2 linked regions of the Tribolium castaneum genome follow. The protein of the gene in region 1 interacts with the protein of each later gene in a pairwise test. Links are inferred from orthologs where the notes say so. Each region holds a gene or a part of one and is shown on either strand. Other genes may lie near its edges.

Region 1 (4,553 bases):
GTGGAGTGACTTAAGATAAACATAAATAAAATCGATTCGGAGGTAAACGAATTAAATTTCACAACGTGATAAGTTTTATTGAGCAAAAAACATTTTTATATCAAAATAATAGGATAAGAGTGGGAGGGTCAATCCGTGGAATTAGTAAACATTCTAATTTTAGCAGTTTTCTTAAAATCCAGCTGAAGTTACGGTGACTGGTTCCAAAGTCTTGTTTCACGCAGTGTTCATGATTCGACCTCAGAAGCGTGATTAAATAGGTGCAAGATTAAGTGATTTATGGGTCTTATAATTATATAACAAATCGTTTTACAAATAACTTCGTTATCGGAATCAATTATACGATATCCGGTTGTTAACGCCACGACTATCTTTGACTCATCCCAAAATAATCACAAGACAATAAATAACATCCTTGATTGCAACTGCAGACAATCGGATTTTTTCGCTAAGCCAACAGGAACCGCTCCTCAATTCTTGTGCCGAGCTTTAAACTTTTATTACCTGCAATAGCTGTTGGAAACCGCGCAGACAAAGCGTCATAACTCATCGTTCTTTTCCTATCGATTTTCTAGTAGTTTACAAACAAGCCGTTATTAATTATGATGACCCTCTTACTTGGATTTGCATAATGAGAGTAAATATCTGGAAGAGCTTAATAGTTTCAAACTTAGTTATTGCCATAATCCATTAACTTATGCAAATTAATTAAGAGTCAATTTTTACCGAGTCACAACTTGAGAAGGTGTCAATCGAAATTAGAGAAAAATTATTGCGTTTTCTATTAATTTTCACTCCTTGAACTTTGAAAGCAAAAATCGCTTTTTGTTCAAAAATAGCCGTTTGGACTGACAAACAAAATTATGTAACGTTGATCGAAGGTTCAATAAAAATAATTTTCTAATAAAGCTGTCAGATACCGATGTCTGTCGGGATCTTAATTTCAAGTCTGAGGACAAAATAAGAGAAACACTGATAAGAGACCGGGTTCGAGAGTCAACAGTTTTAAACGCCCCCAACATTGTTTCACCCTTCTATTGACTATTGGCTAAGCAAATAAGAATCACACAAAGCTTTGATCTCTTTGGGGCTAAATATTTAATTTCGCAGGTATTTACTTTGAAACTTAAGTAACAAAAGCTGTTGAAAACACGAAAGGCACACTTGCGAGTGACAGTTTTTCCTTTGAAATTAAAAATTAATTAGACTGCGTAATTGAACATAATGCCCACACAGCGTGGTGATTTCTCGTAGACTCTGATCTATCTGATTTATCCGAACGAAGCTCGAGCTTTCATCGCTGATCCGAGCGAGGCCACCTACGAAGGATAAATAGAATTAAGCCCATTGGTAATTCGGCGCCCATGAATCCGCTCACGTCCCATTTTTCCAAAATCTCCGTAAACATCGTAATGATTTCAAAGGGAATAAGTGTAAAAGCACTTGTAAATTTCGGTATAAATAGCGAGGAAACGCAAGCGCGTGCTTTATTCGCTTTCAATTCCACTAACCTACATTTGAACAGTTTGGCAAAAGCGCTCGGAGCTTTGGGACGTCGCAATAAATGTCGCAAAATTCGGCCACGTGCTGCGAGGTGGTGTTTTTTCGCTTAAATAGACCTTCACAGGTGCGTGTTTTCCCGCTTATTATTGACGTGACACGTGTGATTGATGTTGCTTTATTATGATTTCCTGCAAGTAAACACTTTTGAATTTCTCTAAGTCGATCAAAGTTGAAATTTTACCGCGAGGTGGTAAACAATCGGCGTCAAAGGGGGACTTTTAATTAAATCCACATCGATGCCAAGTGTCCGATAAATTGCTTTTCGAGCTTTTGTGCATTTGGAATTTTATTTTATTGGTGCAAGCGGAGCAAAACAATGCCAGGATTGCGACACGAGACTCATTTTAATTGATATTAAAGCTTACGTTTTAATCAAGGTTTAACCAGTTTTGCATGTCCTTTGAACTCCAAACAATAACTCGCCATGTAATGAAACTACGCCATAAATTTTGGGCCCCGAAGAGCTTTTTAGTTCGATAATAATTAATTAAAATTTTGTCTTACGTGACGAGCTTTCCGCCAAAAGCTGTCACATCCAGGCGCAACTTTGTGATGAGTCGTCTAAAGTTTCGTCTCCATTTATACTCCGAAATCTATTTTTGATGCAAGTGCATAAAATTTTGAGTAAGCTTTTCGCACTTTTATGCTCGGAATTGTTTTGGATTGAAGGCTGTTAAAGCGGCCCACCTTGGAGCGAGTAAGGACAACAAATAAAACAAAACAGCGACTTTTCAAGAGTTCAAGTGCATTTAAAACTAACTTTGTAGATAAATACCCGCTGCATTATTCATTCCTTGAACTCGTAAATTCGCACTCGGCTCCCGTCTCAATTATTTTTTTTACAATATTGATCCGTCACATTTCTCGGCAAACTTGTCCGAAAGTTTGATTAAAATTTCCGGTTTTTCTTTCTGGCGTTGATGAGGAAAACTTTATCGTTTCAGATGTGAGCGAAAAATGAACGCAACATCTCCGAAGTCCTCACTGGCCAAGCTCGGCCTCTACCCCCGACCGAAAACTTTGAAGGTCATGGTTTTGGGGCAAAGCGGTGTCGGAAAATCAGGTAATTGCCAGAGCGGCTATTTCTGGGTTTGTTTACCAGGCTTCCGTTCTAGCGATGGTTGTGCGATTTATTACCAAAAGATACATAGGCGAGTACGACCCGACTTTGGAAAAAGTTTACGCTTTCCACACAGTGATTGACAACGAGATGGTTTATTTTGATATCCTTGATACGGCAGGACAACCGCACGTAAGCTTTCGCCCTGTTTGCATGTCCGCTGTGCAAATGGCAGTGCAATTTGTTAATTAAGTTTCGAATTAAAGTTAATTACGCCTAGTTTGTCATAATAAAAGTCCGCGTATTTGTTATCGCCTGGAAGTGGTTGCAAGCGACTTTATTAAAATTAGAATGTTTACAATGGCGAGGAATTAGCAGGTGTTACATCATTAAAGCATTTTATTAACTGTTTATAAATATTTCGGACGTTGTAGCCGATTTATGTGAAAATGAATCGATTTTTTGATCAAACACCACTTATGCAAAAATAATTTTTGCATTTATCAAGTAATCATTTAGTGGCATCTTGTTGCCAACAACGCTGTTTCACGATAAAAATTTCGTCATTATTTTACTCCGTGTAAATAACAAGAATTTAATTAATTCGAATTTTATCAGTATAGTTTTATTTTTTAAACAATAGACGTGTGGTTTCGTGATCACGTAATTGTTTTATTAAATGTGTCTCTGAGTGTTTGAAAAAATCAACTTGACGATAATTGTTACAATAAAAAATAAAATTGCTATTTGGGCAATATATCAAGATGTCCGAACCTGATATTAGAGATAAACAACCGTTATAGATTAAGTATCAAGGGATAAGAAGACGAAGTAACGAAGATTTATGAGTGTACTAAAAGGAATTATTGAATTTCAACTCACTCAACGAACAAAAGCAATTATATCCGAACGGCAAACACACCTAGCCTGAGAAAAAAGACAAAATGGGCCGTTAGAAAGCAAACCTTTCTTATAATAAGCTTACACATTTTGAGAGGAAATTTTTGTAACCTTATTAAATTCAATTAAAAATTATTATTTCAAATTATTTGTATTAATAGCCTCACTGGATGGTATAAAGCATTTCCTTAGTAAAATAAGCTTTTATTGAAAAGTAAACAGCTGCCGTCAGTTGTGTGTCACTTAAAAAACTTGAAATATCACTCTTTCCAAGTAAACTGAATTAATTTCTGATTTAAAGCCTTTCATAAGAGGAGTGAGGTTCCAGCAATATGAAAAAGTCCATTGTTGACTTTAAATAGTTAGAAAATTAATCTTTTTTTACGAAAACTGTATAAACTAATCCTCTGATTTACATAAAATTATTTTCAAGAATACAGAATGTTTCCGAAATGAGCTACAATACAAACCTATCCAATTTTTTAAAGAAACATTCTATATTTTTTTGCGATTTTTGAATATAGCTTTCGACACTGCTGTTTTTAAGAGAAATTGTTATTGGTTTTTAAATTAATGTTTGTTTTTGAAATAATTTGATTTTTTAACAAAAAAAATTTTTTTTTAAATATTACATAAAAACTAAAAATCTTAGAAAAGTGTCCTGCTGAATATATTTTTCATGTTTTACTTATTTATTTATTTTATTATATTTATTTATAATTTGTCTGCGATCCTAATGACATACGCTCAACAACTGATACTGATTTAAGTTTGAACTTTTTCCTTTAAAATAGTGAACGTCCTACATTGCTTAGATTTTTTGTTTTTGTGTAATAATTTTTTAAATAAAATGCGTTATCGTCAAAAAAAAACAAATTATTTCAAAAACTAAACAGAATCGACTAATATAAGTATAAATCAAAATTATCAGAATTAAAAGCTGCGTCCAAAAATGCAATAAAATTTAGAGTGCTCTATTAAAAAAAATTACTTCAGCGTCTCTTTAGTTTTGGAACAGTCTGAATACACA
Region 2 (2,845 bases), on another chromosome or scaffold:
GTAAAGAATTGTTTATTGCAATAACACGAAAAATAGTAAATTACAAAAAACTCCCTCACCAACAATCACCAAAAACAAGGAAAAAAAAATTACCACGTTGGTGGCACTGGATACTAGTACAAAAGTTTTAAACACGAAATTAAAAAAAAATCTTATCAAGCGAAAAGTTTATTAATCTCTGAAACTCTGGGAAAATAGCAAACTGTCTTCATAACTCGTCTTAAAAGCCATTTCTAATTTCGTTTTCAAAGCCGATTTATGACCGGCAATTATGCTTTTCAAAGCTTGCTCAACATGGACCAGATTTGGACCCAAGACATCAATGGTATGCATTAGCAGTTTCCCGAAATTTTTATCATCCTGATGATCTTCGCAACTGTTGGACAACAACTGAACCAATTTATTTAAGACTTCATACTCCACTTGACTGTTTAATAAAGAATCAATTATAATTATGTAATTTTTGGTCAGTGTTTCAACCGAAAGTATAAAATCCCTACAAGAGTTAAATCACTAAAGAAAAATACTATTTAAAAAAATGTTTACCTGGCTAATGCGGTTTGAAAGTTTACATTCTTCACATATTGTAGAAAAATGTTAGTCTCGTGTTGTTCCAAAGACGGGACTAGTGCTAGACATTCCTCGTTTATTATAATGGGGTACTTTGAACTAAACTGCTCTAATAAATTCACAATTTTGTCGCAACATGTTTTCTTGGTCTAAAAAACGACATAAACATGTTACCAAACTGCTGTAAATATAAATACCAGCGGCATCAACAAATGGTGACAAAACAATCTAACTGGATCACCAGAAATGTTTTGTAGTGAAACTCCCAAATAGAAAATTCCATCACTTGTGAGACTATCCTCCAACATTTGAAATATTTTTGCCAAGTCTGTGGTTGCACATTTTGCGAGATACTCCGTGACGTTATCGGGTAAATCATTTTCGATTTCTACATTGTCTTTAATGGTACAAACTATGTCGTTTAGGGCTTTTTGGTCACAAGTTTTGGGCTCAACTTGTGGTGGTGGAGCAATTTCAGTGTCTTCGTCTGAGCATAAGTTAATTACTGGTGGCGATTTTGGCTGTGTTTCATTTGCATTTTTGCATTCCTCGACCTTTTGTATCAAGTGCGAAGGCTAAAAATCTTTCAAAACACAAAAAACAGCCAAGTTATTATTTTTTACCAATGGCAATATCGTTTGCCACAAAGTGGCTTTTTCCAAATCACAGTTTCGGTTTGTTGCTTGTTCTTTTGCCACTTTTATGAAATTAATTAACGCCGGTTCGGATTCTTTAGCAAATTGATAACGCGGTATTTTCCACATTTTTTTTTGAAAACTGACGTTTCTGACATGTGTCAAACAGTTCTAACCTTAAAATGTCAGACGATACACTTTTTGAATTTTTACATTCTGAAGTAATTAATTACTTCGTGAGCCGAAATGAGGATCAAAACGCGGAGGGAAAGGTGTATTTATTGACTTTTGTGGCAAATGAACAATTTAAATGTTTCTAGGACGAAGATTTGTCCGCAATTGAGTACATGGGGTTTTCAACAGGCTACAGGATAATAGAAAGGTGTTCCATCTAGTTTATCGTTACAGAGCCTCATTTAACTTTTCGTAGGTTGACGAAAGAAATGCCGCGTTTTAAGGACGAACTGGACACAATGAAATTCATTTGCACCGATTTCTGGTCAGCGATTTACAAGAAACAAATTGATAACTTGAGAACAAACCACCAAGGTGTTTACGTGTTGCAAGACAACGGTTTTCGATTTCTCACAAAGTTATCAAACGGGAAACAATATTTAGAGGTAGCCCCCAGATTTGCTGCATTTACTTGTGGGATTATCAGAGGCAGTTTGGCAAATTTAGGGATTGCAAGTCTTGTCACGTCAGAAGTGTTAAACATGCCGTCGTGTAAATTTCACATACAGGTTCAAAGGACGTAAAAAAACAATTTATCAAATTGGAATTTTTTATTTTTTATTTGGGCGTATTTGTTGAAATGTGATGTAAGAGATCAACTGCTGTAATAATTCCGATGGGTTTTTCAATTGTTGATTGTCCAATATCTAAAAATATAATTACTCAATAAATTACATTTAAGTTAGAGTAAATATTACTTTGTTTTTCCAAAACTAGAACGTAGTTCTCACGCTCTAAAATCCTTGAGACAAGCCCTAAAGTCGCATTTTGGTAAACCTTAGGGAAAACAGTGACGGAAGCCTTGTCTATGGAGTCACTGGGTCTCACATTGCCGCTGATCAAGACATTTAGAATTTTCTGCATCGTGACCATACTCAAAATTCCACTAAAATTAAATTTTTAATTTAAAAAAATTTTCTTGGTTTCAAATATTTTGATTTTAAGTTGGCAACTTGTACACAACTCACCCATTTTTGTCAACAATGGGCACCTGATCGATGCCTTGTTTTTTCATAACATGCAAGATCCTCTCGCATGTCATACTTGAAGTTGCAGTTATAAGCGCTTCCAGAGTGAAGTTGGCAACACTCTGGTCCCACCACCAGTGATTATTTGGATTGTCACACTGTTTGAAACCTTTCGATTCCATCCAGTGGTCCGAAACAAACTTTGTAATGTAATTCCTGATACTATCAGGAATAATAACGACGATTCTTTGCCCCTTTTTTAAATCACGGCCCGCTTTGACCGCCGCAGCAACCACGGCACCGGCGCTGCCACCTGTATTAATTCCAGTCATAACAACACCAAAACAATAAAGAGAAAAATACCGCACAACAAGCCTTCCTCTTTAATTAATTTCCGGGCCATGGGGAGCGATTCTTGATCGTTCACTTTGACCCAAT

What was found.
Region 2: the proteins of uncharacterized protein LOC664374 (region 1) and Trs33 interact in a two-hybrid assay, tested with the Drosophila melanogaster proteins (2 studies listed by BioGRID). The link is inferred for Tribolium castaneum from reciprocal best matches to the Drosophila melanogaster genes CG5160 and Trs33.

What each region holds. Positions count from the first base shown.
Region 1 is NC_087397.1:6,593,267-6,597,819, forward strand, and holds the start of uncharacterized protein LOC664374, read left to right. Parts: upstream 1-1,426; 5' UTR 1,427-1,627; intron 1,628-2,507; 5' UTR 2,508-2,520; coding exon 2,521-2,626; intron 2,627-2,678; coding exon 2,679-2,815; intron 2,816-4,553.
Region 2 is NC_087396.1:20,058,640-20,061,484, reverse strand, and holds Trs33 (trafficking protein particle complex subunit 6b), read left to right. Parts: upstream 1-1,339; 5' UTR 1,340-1,387; coding exon 1,388-1,477; intron 1,478-1,525; coding exon 1,526-1,587; intron 1,588-1,635; coding exon 1,636-1,963; 3' UTR 1,964-1,997; coding exon of another isoform or gene 1,998-2,086; 3' UTR 2,087-2,131; downstream 2,132-2,845. Other genes in the region: uncharacterized protein LOC103313595, read right to left, coding at 172-496, 547-719, 768-1,145, 1,194-1,334; Cbs (cystathionine beta-synthase), read right to left, coding at 1,998-2,086, 2,138-2,325, 2,408-2,720, 2,771-2,845.